Linked DNA regions of Sus scrofa. The protein of the gene in region 1 purifies or fractionates together with the protein of each later gene. This does not show direct contact. Links are inferred from orthologs where the notes say so. Each region holds a gene or a part of one and is shown on either strand. Other genes may lie near its edges.

Evidence for each region. Proteins that work in one complex are often made in the same cells at the same time.
Region 2: the proteins of EXOSC5 (region 1) and ZFC3H1 purify together in Homo sapiens (affinity purification with mass spectrometry; 3 studies listed by BioGRID and IntAct, with this or other methods). This does not show direct contact. The link is inferred for Sus scrofa from reciprocal best matches to the Homo sapiens genes EXOSC5 and ZFC3H1.

What each region holds. Positions count from the first base shown.
Region 1 is NC_010448.4:49,377,609-49,383,999, forward strand, and holds the start of EXOSC5 (exosome complex component RRP46), read right to left. Parts: upstream 4,140-6,391; 5' UTR 4,096-4,139; coding exon 3,948-4,095; intron 782-3,947; coding exon of another isoform or gene 760-781; coding exon 646-759; intron 104-645; coding exon 1-103. Other genes in the region: BCKDHA (2-oxoisovalerate dehydrogenase subunit alpha, mitochondrial), read left to right, coding at 4,593-4,709. UniProt on the Homo sapiens protein: Non-catalytic component of the RNA exosome complex which has 3'->5' exoribonuclease activity and participates in a multitude of cellular RNA processing and degradation events.
Region 2 is NC_010447.5:35,639,091-35,644,761, reverse strand, and holds part of ZFC3H1 (zinc finger C3H1 domain-containing protein), read left to right. Parts: intron 1-1,136; coding exon 1,137-1,311; intron 1,312-1,550; coding exon 1,551-1,682; intron 1,683-2,047; coding exon 2,048-2,590; intron 2,591-2,675; coding exon 2,676-2,785; intron 2,786-3,913; coding exon 3,914-4,045; intron 4,046-4,151; coding exon 4,152-4,273; intron 4,274-5,518; coding exon 5,519-5,620; intron 5,621-5,671. UniProt on the Homo sapiens protein: Subunit of the trimeric poly(A) tail exosome targeting (PAXT) complex, a complex that directs a subset of long and polyadenylated poly(A) RNAs for exosomal degradation. The RNA exosome is fundamental for the degradation of RNA in eukaryotic nuclei.

The sequences.
Region 1 (6,391 bases):
ACCTGCAACACCACGGTTATGGAGGTGCGGGGGTGCAGCGCTCCCAGCACTACTGCTTCGCACGTGTTTCTGATCAGCCGCTCCCGGCTCTTCTCCGCTACGCCTGGGGGAAACCAGGGGTGGGGTGGTGTGGGGCTGTCAGGCTCATCTTCCTCCACATACCCCACCCGAGCCCCCCCGGAAAGGGCCTGCAGTCTCAGCCTGGGTTAGTGCAAGGCCCTGCATGGAAGACAGAGGATTCCCAGCAGGGAGGAGGCAGTCAGTCCCCACTCCTGCCACTGCCAGCACCCACCGAGGGAGCCTCCGGGGGCAGGAGAACCTTAGAGCCCCCATGTCCAGCACTGCTGCTGTCCACTCCCATCCCAGAGGGCCCAGCCCTGGGGAGTGAGGGGGATGGAGAGTAAAAGGGCAGAAAAACAGGTTGATGGAAAGACATGGAAAGGAGAGACGAGCCACACGGAAGATGAGGGGAAAGTGGAGGCGATGGGGGGGTGGGAGGGGGGCGGAGAAGGGACAGAAACAGACTTGGAAGCATGTTGTTGGGGAAAAGAGACAGAAATAGCTGGAGACAGACAGAGGAGCAGGTGGGGGGAGGGGAGAGCGGGGAGCGCAGTGAGGGAGACCCCAGGCGAGAGGCCCAATTACCCGGCAGCCCGATCTTAGGCCTCAGGATCACCTCCAGTGTGGCCTTGTTGAAGATCTCTTTGCGGACCTTCACCTCGGCTGGGCCATACACGCCTGCCAGGACGGAGGTATCCCCTGGGGAGACAGCACAGGAGGCCTTGCCCACGTCTCCCCCGCCTCCGGGGCCCAACGCGCGGCACTTAACAGTGTGGGCACAGAGCCGGTGGCCGGGCTTCCCCACGTCACCCCGGCTCTGGCCCACCATTCCTTGACAGTGACTCTTGGGGCACTTGCTTCGTTTCTCTGCCTCCACTTCCCCATCCGTCAAACGATACCTCCTCCCTCACAGCTGTTGAGGGTTAAATGAGATGATCCACTTAAAGGAAAAAGGCTCAGGAGCTGCCTGGTACCCCTGCTGAGTGCTCAACAGACTTAAGCTGTTATTAACTTCACCGGGAAGTCCCTCCTGCACTAACCTCCCTCCCTCTTACTGCTGCTGGTCCCAACTTCTCTTCCCACAGCTTCCCCTAGCCCAGCTCTCAACTCTGCAGCAGTAAGGATACCTGAGAACCCAATAAATACCTGGGGGGTGGGGGTGGGTTCTAACTCCTGCTCATTTCCTCCTGGCTCTGTAACCTCAGCTGATTTTGCTCACTTCTCTGGGCCTCAGTTTTACCATCTGCAAAAATGAAGAGGCTGAACTAAAACAGTAGCTTCCAAATTTTTCTGACCATAACCCCCAATAAGAAATATATTTCAGGAGTTCCCGTCGTGGCGCAGTGGTTAACGAATCCGACTAGGAACCATGAGGTTGCGGGTTCGGTCCCTGCCTTTGCTCAGTGGGTTAACGATCCGGCGTTGCCGTGAGCTGTGGTGTAGGTTGCAGACGCGGCTTGGATCCCGCGTTGCTGTGGCTCTGGCGTAGGCTAGTGTCTACAGCTCCGATTCAACCCCTAGCCTGGGAACCTCCATATGTTGCAGGAGCGGCCCAAGAAATAGCAAAAAAGACAAAAAAAAAAAATTTTTTTTCAGGGAGTTCCCTCTGCAGCTCAGAGGTTAAAGAACTCAACTAATATTCATGAGGATGTGGGTTCGATCCCTAGCCTTGCTCAGTGGGTTAAGGATCCAATGTGGCTGTGGCTGTGGCGTAGGCCAACAGTTGTAGCTCCGATTCAGCCCCTAGCCTGGAACTTCCATATGCCGCAGGCCCAGCCACAAAAAGCAAAAAAAAAAGAATCACTAACGAATGCACATTGGACTCACTGCAGAGCTTTAAAAGACACTGATGCACAGGCCCCTCCCCTCAGAGAGCCTAATACCATTGCTGAGGGCTGGCGCTCAGGCACCGGCAGCCTGTGAGCTCCACAGGCCATTCTAATGTGCAGCGGGGATTGCAACCTGCAGTGGGAGGACACGGAGCTGGTGCACAGCTTCAAAACGCTGGCCTGCAATCAGAATTGCCGCTGTAGTGGATTAAAAAGTGTAGAGGGCCAGACTTAGCTGGTGTGGGTGGGTTCTGAGGCTTCAGCATTTTTTTTTTTTTGGCTGTGCCCACGGCACATGGAATTCCTGGGCCAGAGATCAAACCCTTGCCACAGCTTGGACCTGAGCCACAGCAGTAACAATGCTGGAACCTTAACCTGCTGAGTCACCAGGGAACTCCTGGGGCTCGGAATTCTTAACCTCAGTAGAGATTCTGAGGCCAGGAGCATGTGAGACACACTTCTGAGGGCCTTTGAGGGACTCTGCTCCAGGGTCCTGGGCTTTGGGGTTTTAGAACATGGAAGAGGCTCAGTATTTAAGTGCTAAGAAACTTGCATGAAGGGCAGTCCTCCGTACCTCTCTTTGACCTCCTGTCTCTGCTGCAGCCACTTTGCTCTCCTGACTGCTCCTCAAACACACCAGGCAAGTTTTTGTCTCAGGGCCTTTACCCTTGTCCCCAATGCTTTTCTCTTACTGTCTTGAGGGTTTGCTCCCTTACCTTTAGATCTTTATTCAAATGGTACCATCTTAGCGAAGCCTTCCCTGACCATCCCATTTGAGACTGCACCCCTCTCTGGCACGCCCTATTCTTCCTTCCTGCGGTAGTTTCCTCCATAGCCTTTTACTAAGTTTTACTTAGTTATCACTTGTTTCTCTGATGGAAATGGAAACTCTTCTAGGGCAGGAATTTAAAAACTTATATAAAACAGAAAAAAATATAAAAAAAGAAATTAAAAAAACACAAAAAACCTTTTTAGCTATGATTTCTCAGTGCTTAGAACAGTACTTAGCAAAAACACATGTGTTCAGGAATTCCCGCTGTGGCACAAAGGAATTGGCAGGAACCCTGGCCCAGCGTTGCCACTCTAAGGGCATAGGAAGGACACAGTTGGGGCTTGGATGTGATCCCCAGCCTGGCAACTCCGTATATATAAAACAACGAAATTCCCATTTTGGCTCAGCGGGTAAGAACCCAACTAGTATCCATGAGGCTATGGGTTCAATCCCTGGCCCCGCTCGGTGGGTTAAGGATCTGGGGTTGCCGTGAGCTGTGGTGTAGGCCGCAGATGCAGCTCAGATCTCGCATTGCTGTGGCTGCGATGTAGGCCAGCAGCTACAGCTTCATTTGAACCCCTAGCCTGGGAACCTCCATATGTTGCAAGTGCGGTCCTAAAAAGCAAAAAAAAGAAAAAAGAAAAACAAACAAAAAAAAATCAGTAGTGGTGATTTGCCAGTCTACGAGGTATTTACGCAAAAGAACAGGTTTGCCTCAACCAGGGATAGATGAATCCAGAGTGCATGTGTGGGAGGAACCTAGTCAAGGAGGACTTTTTTTACACGGTGAGATTTCCCCTATTCTGGAGTATTCGTTCTTTTTTTTTTTTTTTTTTTTTTTTGCTCTCTCAGGCCTCACATGGAAGTTCCCAGGCTAGGGATCTAATCAGAGCTACAACTGCCAGCCTACACCACAACCACAGAAACCCCAGATCCGAGCTGTGTCTGCGACCTACACCACAGCTCACAGCAACGCCGGATCCTTAACCCGCTAAGGGAGGCCAGGGATCGAACCCTCATCCTCATGGATCCTAGTCGGGTTCCTTAACTGCTGAGCCACGAAGGGAAGTCCCTGGAGTATTCGTTCTTAAGAGAAGGTCTGCCCCTCTCTCATCCTGAGGCATATTTACCAGAGTGGAGGTATCTTCACCCTTCTATTTGTCTACTGGCATATGCAGTACCATTCACTCCGGCAAGAACTGCATCAGTCCAAGAAGATATTTACCAGCTAACACAATACACTGTACCCGCCCACGAGAACAAATACGACGTGGGTAAATTCTTACCTTGCAGGAAAGAGGCAGAGCCATCGGGCCGGGACAACAAGTTTTGTTCGCAGGCAAAGTGCCGGAGAGTACAGCTGGGGCTCCGAGGGCCAGACTCTGCTCCAGACTCGGGGCGTACCTTGGTTTCAGTCTGCATCGACTCCTCCATCGCCGGGGAGCCCACGTGCAGCAGGGACTGTCGCTTCCGCCCAGAAGCGCGCGCTTGCGTACAGACTGCGTACCCAATGAGCAAGCGCCAACTTGGGTGCGGGGCCCTCCGGGATCCGCGCCCGCACGTGTCTCTGCGTTTACTAACAATCTGGTCCCTCCTACTCCCGCCTAGAGAGTCCAGGAAAGCCATTGGACAGAAGGGAAGAGAGGGCGGGCCTTGGCATGAGCTCGTCCTACCCGAGGCCCCGGGGCCCTGAAACCCTGAAGCCGAGCTCAGTTGCCCTCTGCTTTGCCTGTTAAGAGGAATAACTCCGGTGAAGCGATCGGAGTAATTTGGGGAAATCTGGATTATTTTACCCACCTATATATGTGTCCTAAAGACCGCAGGATTAGTAGCAGGTGGTTTCTTGGCAGAGCGATCCTGGTATTTGAGTCAGGCTCCTGAAGGGGCAGCCCCAGTCTCGCCAAGGAGGGGGACGCTACTCTGAGGTATTAATGGTCAAGATGGCGTTGGCGGTGGCTGTGGCGAGGGTTTGGGAGCGCAGTCAAGGCTTGGGCCAGGCTGGCCTCCTGCTTCTGCGGCGGCTTGGGGCTCGGGGTCTGGCTAGATCTGTGAGTACTGGGGAGGTACCCGAGAAGGTATAGAAATGTTAACTCCTTCTTCAGAGTGTGGCGTCCCTGTAGGGAGTACATGGAGGGCGGTTGAAGGGAGAAGGGCTGCAGAAACATCTTGTAGCGGACCCTCAAGGGAAGAAGTTTCACTTCCTTAGGAGAGGCAAAGCGGGACAGCTTCTTTGTGGACCCTCAGGGAGGAAGACAACGTGGAGAAAGTGAGGGAGGGCGTTTCTTATTAGTTGCCACCAATGCCCCGGGGAGGCCTCTTGGAGGACATGGGGGGAAAGTGTGACCTTTCTCCTCAGGGGTTGGAGAGTGAAATTGCGTTTACAAAGGAAAGATTTTCTTCTTGGGAAAGACTCCCCCTTCCAAGAAGAGAAGAGAGAGCAGATACCCCAGCACAGGCTTTTATAGTGCCTTTTTGCTTCAACTCTGGTTTTTTTTAGTTTGTTTTTTTACTTTTTATTGGGGCATCTGCAGCATATGGAAGTTCCCAGGCTAGGGGTGGAATGGGAACCGCAGCTGGGGGCCAACGCCAGATTCTTAACCCAGTGAGCGGGGCCAGGAGTGGAACCTGCATCCTCATGGACACTATGACCGGTTCCTAACCCACTGAACCACAACAGGAACTCCTGCTCTGATTTTAAAATGAATCGTGTAAAAAAGTCGTTTGATCCTGGGTCCCCTGATGCAGTACCTGGCTGTTGACCTTGTCTGTCTTGATCATTACAAAGGAGATGATTAGTAAGTATTTGTTCAGCTAATGAGGGTGGACGAGGAGGGAGAGAGGTCCAGACAGAGCACTTGTCCACATTGCTTAGGAACACGTAAGAAATGCCTCATTTCTTGTCGCAGGGTCAGCCTTCCTTTAGGTTGATGAGAGCTTTCACAGCAGAAATCTAATTGGGAGCCCCTCTTAAGGGGAAGAGAGGCAGTGGGCTGCAGAAGAGCTGTGGATTGTTTTCACATGTAAGTAGTTAAGAAGGTGTGCTCTGAAGCTAGACCATGTGGGACCAATATCCCTGATCTGCTGTTTTCTAGTTTTTTAGCTTTGGGCAAGGGACTGCTTCTCTCTGGACCTAATCCCCCCCACTCCCACCCCCGCCAGCCAGTAAAATGCTAACAACAGATTGTTGTGAAGAACACAGAAGAGTGCCAAGGACTGGATGTGCCCATGACGAGGGCAGAGTGGATTTTGGCTGCTGTTGAAAGGGGACAGAAACTGACTTTGGAGATGAGGGAAAAGGGCTGGGTTGGTGAGGAAATCTATCAGAACTTTGTGGGGGAGTACCCGTCCTGGTGCAGAGGAAATGAATACTGCTAGTAACCATGAGGTTGCAGGTTCCATCCCTGGCCTCGCTCGGTGGGTTAAGGATCCTGCGTTGCTGTGAGCTGTGGTGTAGGTCGCAGACGTGGCTTGGAAACAGCGTGGCTGTGGTGTAGGCTGGCAGCTGTAGCTCCAATTTGACCCCTAGCCTGGAACCCTCCATGTACCGTGGTGCAACCCTAAAAAGCCAAAAAAGAAAAATGAAAGAAAAATAAGACTTTTTGTGGGGTTGGGCCAGACCGGCTAATCCCCAATTATTAGGAAGGGAAGATGGAATCTGTAGGAAGAAGCTCTAGCCAGGGAAGGAGAATAGGCTGGGAATGAGGTGTGGGTGGGCCTGGGAAGGGAGTCA
Region 2 (5,671 bases), on another chromosome or scaffold:
TCATTTTGGGAGTTCCCTGGTGGCCTAGCAGGTTAAGGATCTAGCATTGTCACTGCCCTGGCTCACGCTCGCTGCTGTGGTGTGGGTTTGATCCCTGGACTAGGAGCTTTTGTGCAGCCAAAAAAAATTCATTTTAGATTCCATTTCTTTAATAACTTTCATAACAAATGAATACATTTTTAAAAAATCTTTGCCTTTCTTCTCCCCATCCTATTACATATTCTCTGCCTTTATGATTCACTCTAGATGTTAATTGTTGTGACTGTTTGAAATAAGATGTTTCATTTTTTTAACCATAATATTCAGTAGTTGATCAAGATGAAAATCTGTATCCATAAATTTGTTTTTGTCTTTTTTTGCTTCTGTTCCAAACTTTACATCTGTCTATTGTTTAAAAATTAAACTTCCTTTTCCCTTCCTTGCCTTGTCTTAGATAAAATTGACTTAGAGGTTTGTTAGGTAATTAAATATGCTTGATTATGTTTATTAGATGTTTTTTGTGTATATATTAAAAGTATTATAAATGAAGCTAAACAGCAATTATGTCTTAAGTTTATTATTTAGGAGTTATATAGGGCTGATTGAACATTTACTGTTAACAGCTTTTCAGCCTTTATTCACATTACACAGACAAATGTTTTGTTTTGTTTTTTCCTTTTTTGGGGGGCTGCACCTGTGGCATATGGAAGTTCTAGGCTAGGGGTTGAATCGGAGCTGCAGCTGCTGGCCTATGCCACAGCCACAGCAATGCCAGATCCAAGCCACATCTGCAACCTATACTGTAGCTCACTACAATGCCAGATCCTTAACCCACTGAGTGAGGCCAGGGATTGAACCCCCATCCTCATGGGTATTAGTCGGATTTATTACTGCTGAGCCACAATGGGAACTCCCAATTTTTTTTAAAGATCAGACCTATAGTTGCTTTCATAAAATGTAACAGTGTCTATCTGAATACATGTATGATGAAAGGAATACTTGGTGAATATGAAAATATCCTTTGAAATACTCACTTCTGTGTATCAAATATATTTTTAAAAATGAGCTATTACTTTGTAATTTTTTTATTGTGATGGTGTTAGTCCACTAGTTTAGAAAAACAAACATTAATAAGAATTTTGTTATTTCCCAATTAGGATTCTCTTGATGAAAGATGAATCTGTTTTAAAGAATCTAGTACAGCAGGAAGCTAAGAAGAAAGAATCTGTTCGAAATGCTGAAACAAAAATTACGAAACTTACAGAGCAGCTTCAGGCAACAGAGAAAATTCTCAGTGTCAATAGAATGTTTTTGAAGAAGCTTCAGGAACAAGTAATGTTCTTTTTTAAAATTAAATATTGTAGTCTCATGTTTACTACACATTTTTATGGGCCAAATTTTTAATAAAACCATAAACCGAAACTATCAAAATACATAACCTATGTTTTGTTCTCTCTTGAAACGTGGTATTTTCGTATTTTAATTTTCAGTTGAATACCCTAAAGCTACTATGTTTGAGAAGATATTTCCTCTTCTAAGATTTACATTTTCAGAATTATCCAATATTTCAGATTCACAAAGTTCAGCAACGTGTTACAATTAAGAAAGCTTTAACTCTGAAATATGGAGAAGAACTTGCTCGGGCAAAAGCAGTGGCTAGTAAAGAAATAGGAAAACGTAAACTGGAACAAGATCGCTTTGGAGTAAGTTGTGTGTAGAAATATTTTATGTTTGAAAAGGAGAAGGTTTTAATAATACTTTTGAGGATAAGAGATATATAAAAAATTCAAGCTTTTTACTGCATATTCAAGGAAACTAAGGGTAAAGCTTTGTTTTTATATGACATCTACATTTTTAGAAATTTATTTTTAAAGTTACTTTGACTTTTTTTTAAAGTTTTTGTGTATCATAGATTAACTGGTAAATCTGTTGGGAAGCTTTTGTAAAACTATTTTATTTATCGATTTAGTTTTATTATGTTGTATTATAGGGATAGCCTAATTATCTTACCAAAAATCATTTATAAAATCATAACAATATAAAATACTGATACCATTTTTCCCTCCAGCCAAACAAAATGATGAGACTGGACAATTCTCCAATATCAAGTCCAAGAAAGCATTCAGCAGAATTAATTGCTATGGAAAAAAGACGATTACAAAAGCTAGAATATGAATATGCTCTGAAAATTCAGAAACTAAAAGAAGCCAGGGCCCTTAAAGCAAAGGAACAACAAAATATTGCTCCACTTGTGGAAGAGGAACCTGAATTTTCTTTACCTCAGCCCTCACTTCACGATCTGACTCAAGATAAATTAAGTCTGGACACAGAGGAAAATGATGTTGATGTTGAGATTTTGGCTGGATCAAACAGAGAACGAAGAAGATCATTCTTAGAATCCAATTCTTTCACTAAACCTAACCTCAAGCACACTGATACACCTAACAAAGAATGTATAAACAAACCTACCAAGAATACAGTAGAAAAACCAGAACTTTTTCTAGGATTAAAAATTGGTGAATTGCAGAAATTATATTCAAAAGCTGACAGCTTAAAACAACTGATTTTAAAAACTACCACAAGCATTACAGACAAGATTTTGCATGGTCAGGTAACTGAACATTTCAAATTATTTATGAAATCTAGACTTCACCCTAGCCATATTTGCCTTAAGAAATTACTATTTTCTTTTGCAGGAGATTTCCGTGGATGTGGATTTTGTGACAGCACAGAGTAAAGCAGCAGAAGTGAAGCCATGTCCGTTTAGACCCTACCATAGTCCCCTTCTAGTTTTTAAGTCGTACAGGTATAGAAGGAAGATTTAATAAGCTTGAGTTTCAGGGTTGCTTCTTGTTGTTAATGATATCCTAAGCTTGCATATTTGATGATAATGAAAATTGAATCATGGTCATGAAAAAAATGAACTTGTATAAATTACTGTCTTGTTTTCAGACTTGAACCAAAGAGGAAGTAAGGTTCACTTCACACCTGGTTTCATCAATTCTTATCAAATCTTAATTTCTAGCTACTGGTGGAATTGTGGAGAATTCTCAATTACTGTCTGTTAAAGATTTTAAGAAAAATAACTGAAGTCTTAGGAGAATTTTTAATTTTTTAAAATGTTTTACTATTACTCTAAGGAAAACATTGGCCAGCTTTCATAAACTTGATTTGATACTTTCAGATGATTACCTTAGTGAGAGGTTGCTTTTTTTTTTTTCTTTAAGACTTTTAGAAGCTGTTAGACTTAAATTGGTATGATTTTATAAAACTATTAAGCATCTACTATGTAGTGTAAACTTTTTCTCTAGTTTCTTGGTTGGCTGGTAATGTAAGAAATACCAGTGTTGGGAGTTCCCGTCATGGCTCAGTGGTTAATGAATCTGACTAGGAACCATGAGGTTGCGGGTTTGATCCCTGGCCTTGCTCAGTGGGTTAAGGATCTGACTTTGCCATGAGCTGTGGTGTAGGTCGTAGATGAGGCTCGGATCCCGCATTGCTGTGGCTCTGGTGTAGGCCAGCAGCTGCAGCTCCGATTGGACCCCTAGCCTGGGAACCTCCATATGCTGTGGGAGCGGCCCTAGAAAAGGCAAAAAGACAAAAAAAAAAAAAAAAAAAAAGACCAGTGTTTTATAGAGTTTTATCATGTGGTAAAAATTACTACTTTTAGAATACAGGATATTTTTGTTCTTTGTTTTCTGTTTCCTATATTTTATATCCTGGGTATAAAAGTATCATGTTCCTAGGACTTGATATTCTTGTTGTTTGTGAGACTTCATTTTGGTATCAGATAGTATTAGATTAATAATTAGATAAATAGTAAGCTCAAAGTATAGAAACTTTAACTGAGAAAGAAAAGATGAAAATTTCTTAAATTTTCTGAGGAATGTTTATAGAGCATCATAATGTGCCTGTCTGCCTCTTTTCTTCTTAGATTTAGTCCATACTATCGTACCAAGGAAAAACTTCCCCTAAGCTCAGTATCATACAGTAATATGATCGAACCAGATCAGTGTTTCTGCCGTTTTGATTTAACAGGAACGTGTAATGATGATGATTGTCAATGGTGAGTAGTTTTTATTTGTGAGCAGTTTGTAAATTAAAAGGTAGTCTTGGTTATTTGGCTTTGGTATATACATGATTATCTTTTCTGTGTTGTTATTTATTTTTAGGCAGCATACACAAGACTATACGCTTAGCCGAAAACAGCTCTTCCAGGACATTCTGTCATATAATCTGTCTTTGATTGGTTGTTCAGAGACAAGCACTGATGAAGAAATTGCTGCTGCAGCAGGTTCTTAAAGACCTCTTGTTTCTCAACTGAAAATTTGAATTTAGGCAATTTAAAAGCTTTATATTCAGTTGTTGACATCTTTAAAGAGCTATAATAATTCAATACATTCATCTTTGACACTTTATCTAGGTCTGCTCTATCCACTACAGTAGTCACTAGCTATATGTTGCTATTTAAATCTAAGTTAATTAAAATAAAAATTTATTTCATCAGTTACACTAGCCACATTTCAAATGCTCAGTAGCCACTGTTGAGGTCAGTGTTGGTAAGTACTTACCAATAAGACAGTGCATATATATAAGACATCCATCATTGCAGAAAGTTCTTTTGATGGTGCTCATCTAAATATTTCAGTTTATTTAGCAGTGTATATCACATGGTTGTATAGAAATTTTACTGATATTTTAAAAATAAACCCTATTTATTGTTTTTGAAAATAGAGGGGTGTTGGAAGTTGAGACGACTGTAGACTGTAGTTTCAAATCCTACAATGAAGTATAAAAAGACCTTTTTTTTTTTTCCAGTCTTTTTGTCTTTTTAGGGCCGCACCCGATGCATATGGAGGTTCCCAGGCTAGAGGTCTGATCGGAGCTGTAGCTGTCAACCTATGCCACAGCCACGGCAATGCCAGATCCAAGCCGCATCTGCGACCTACACCACAGCTCACGGCAATGCTGGATCCTCAACCCACTGACTGAGCAAGGCCAGGGATTGAACAGGCAACCTAATGGTTCCTAATTGGATTCGTTTCCTTTGTGCCATGATGGGAACTCCCTAAAAGTACTTTGTACACTTTTTTTTTTTTTTTAATTTTTTTAATTGTTATTTCCCTAATACAATTTTTTTTCCTACTGTATAGCATGGTGACCCAGTTACACATACATGTATACATTCTTTTTTCTCACATTATTGGTGTTTGTTAAATTCAGTATTGTGATGACTCAGAGTGATTGTAACATCACCGAATCTATTTAATCATTCCCAATTAGGGACTTTAATTTTCACTTTTTTAGGTTGTTTTGGTAAATACTCTTTTCCAGCCCAAATTGGGTGCATGATATGGTGGGATTTGCTCTAGCAGTTGAGATAATGTAGGCCTTCCTTGCCCTTTAGAAGGCCATGGGTGTTTTTGACTAGTACTTTTAACTTTTAAACTATTCTTCACTTCTTTGTCTTTAGTTAGCCTAATTTCTGTAATCCATGTTTATTATACTTTTTATGAAGATAGCATTGCTCTACTTTCAGAAAAATATGTCGAGAAGCTTTTTGGAGTAAACAAAGATCGAATGTCAATGGACCAGATGGCTGTTCTCCTTGTTAGCAACATCAATGAAAGTAAAGGCCATAGTGAGTATATATCTCTTTCTGCTGCACAAAAGAACCTTATAGAGCAAATTT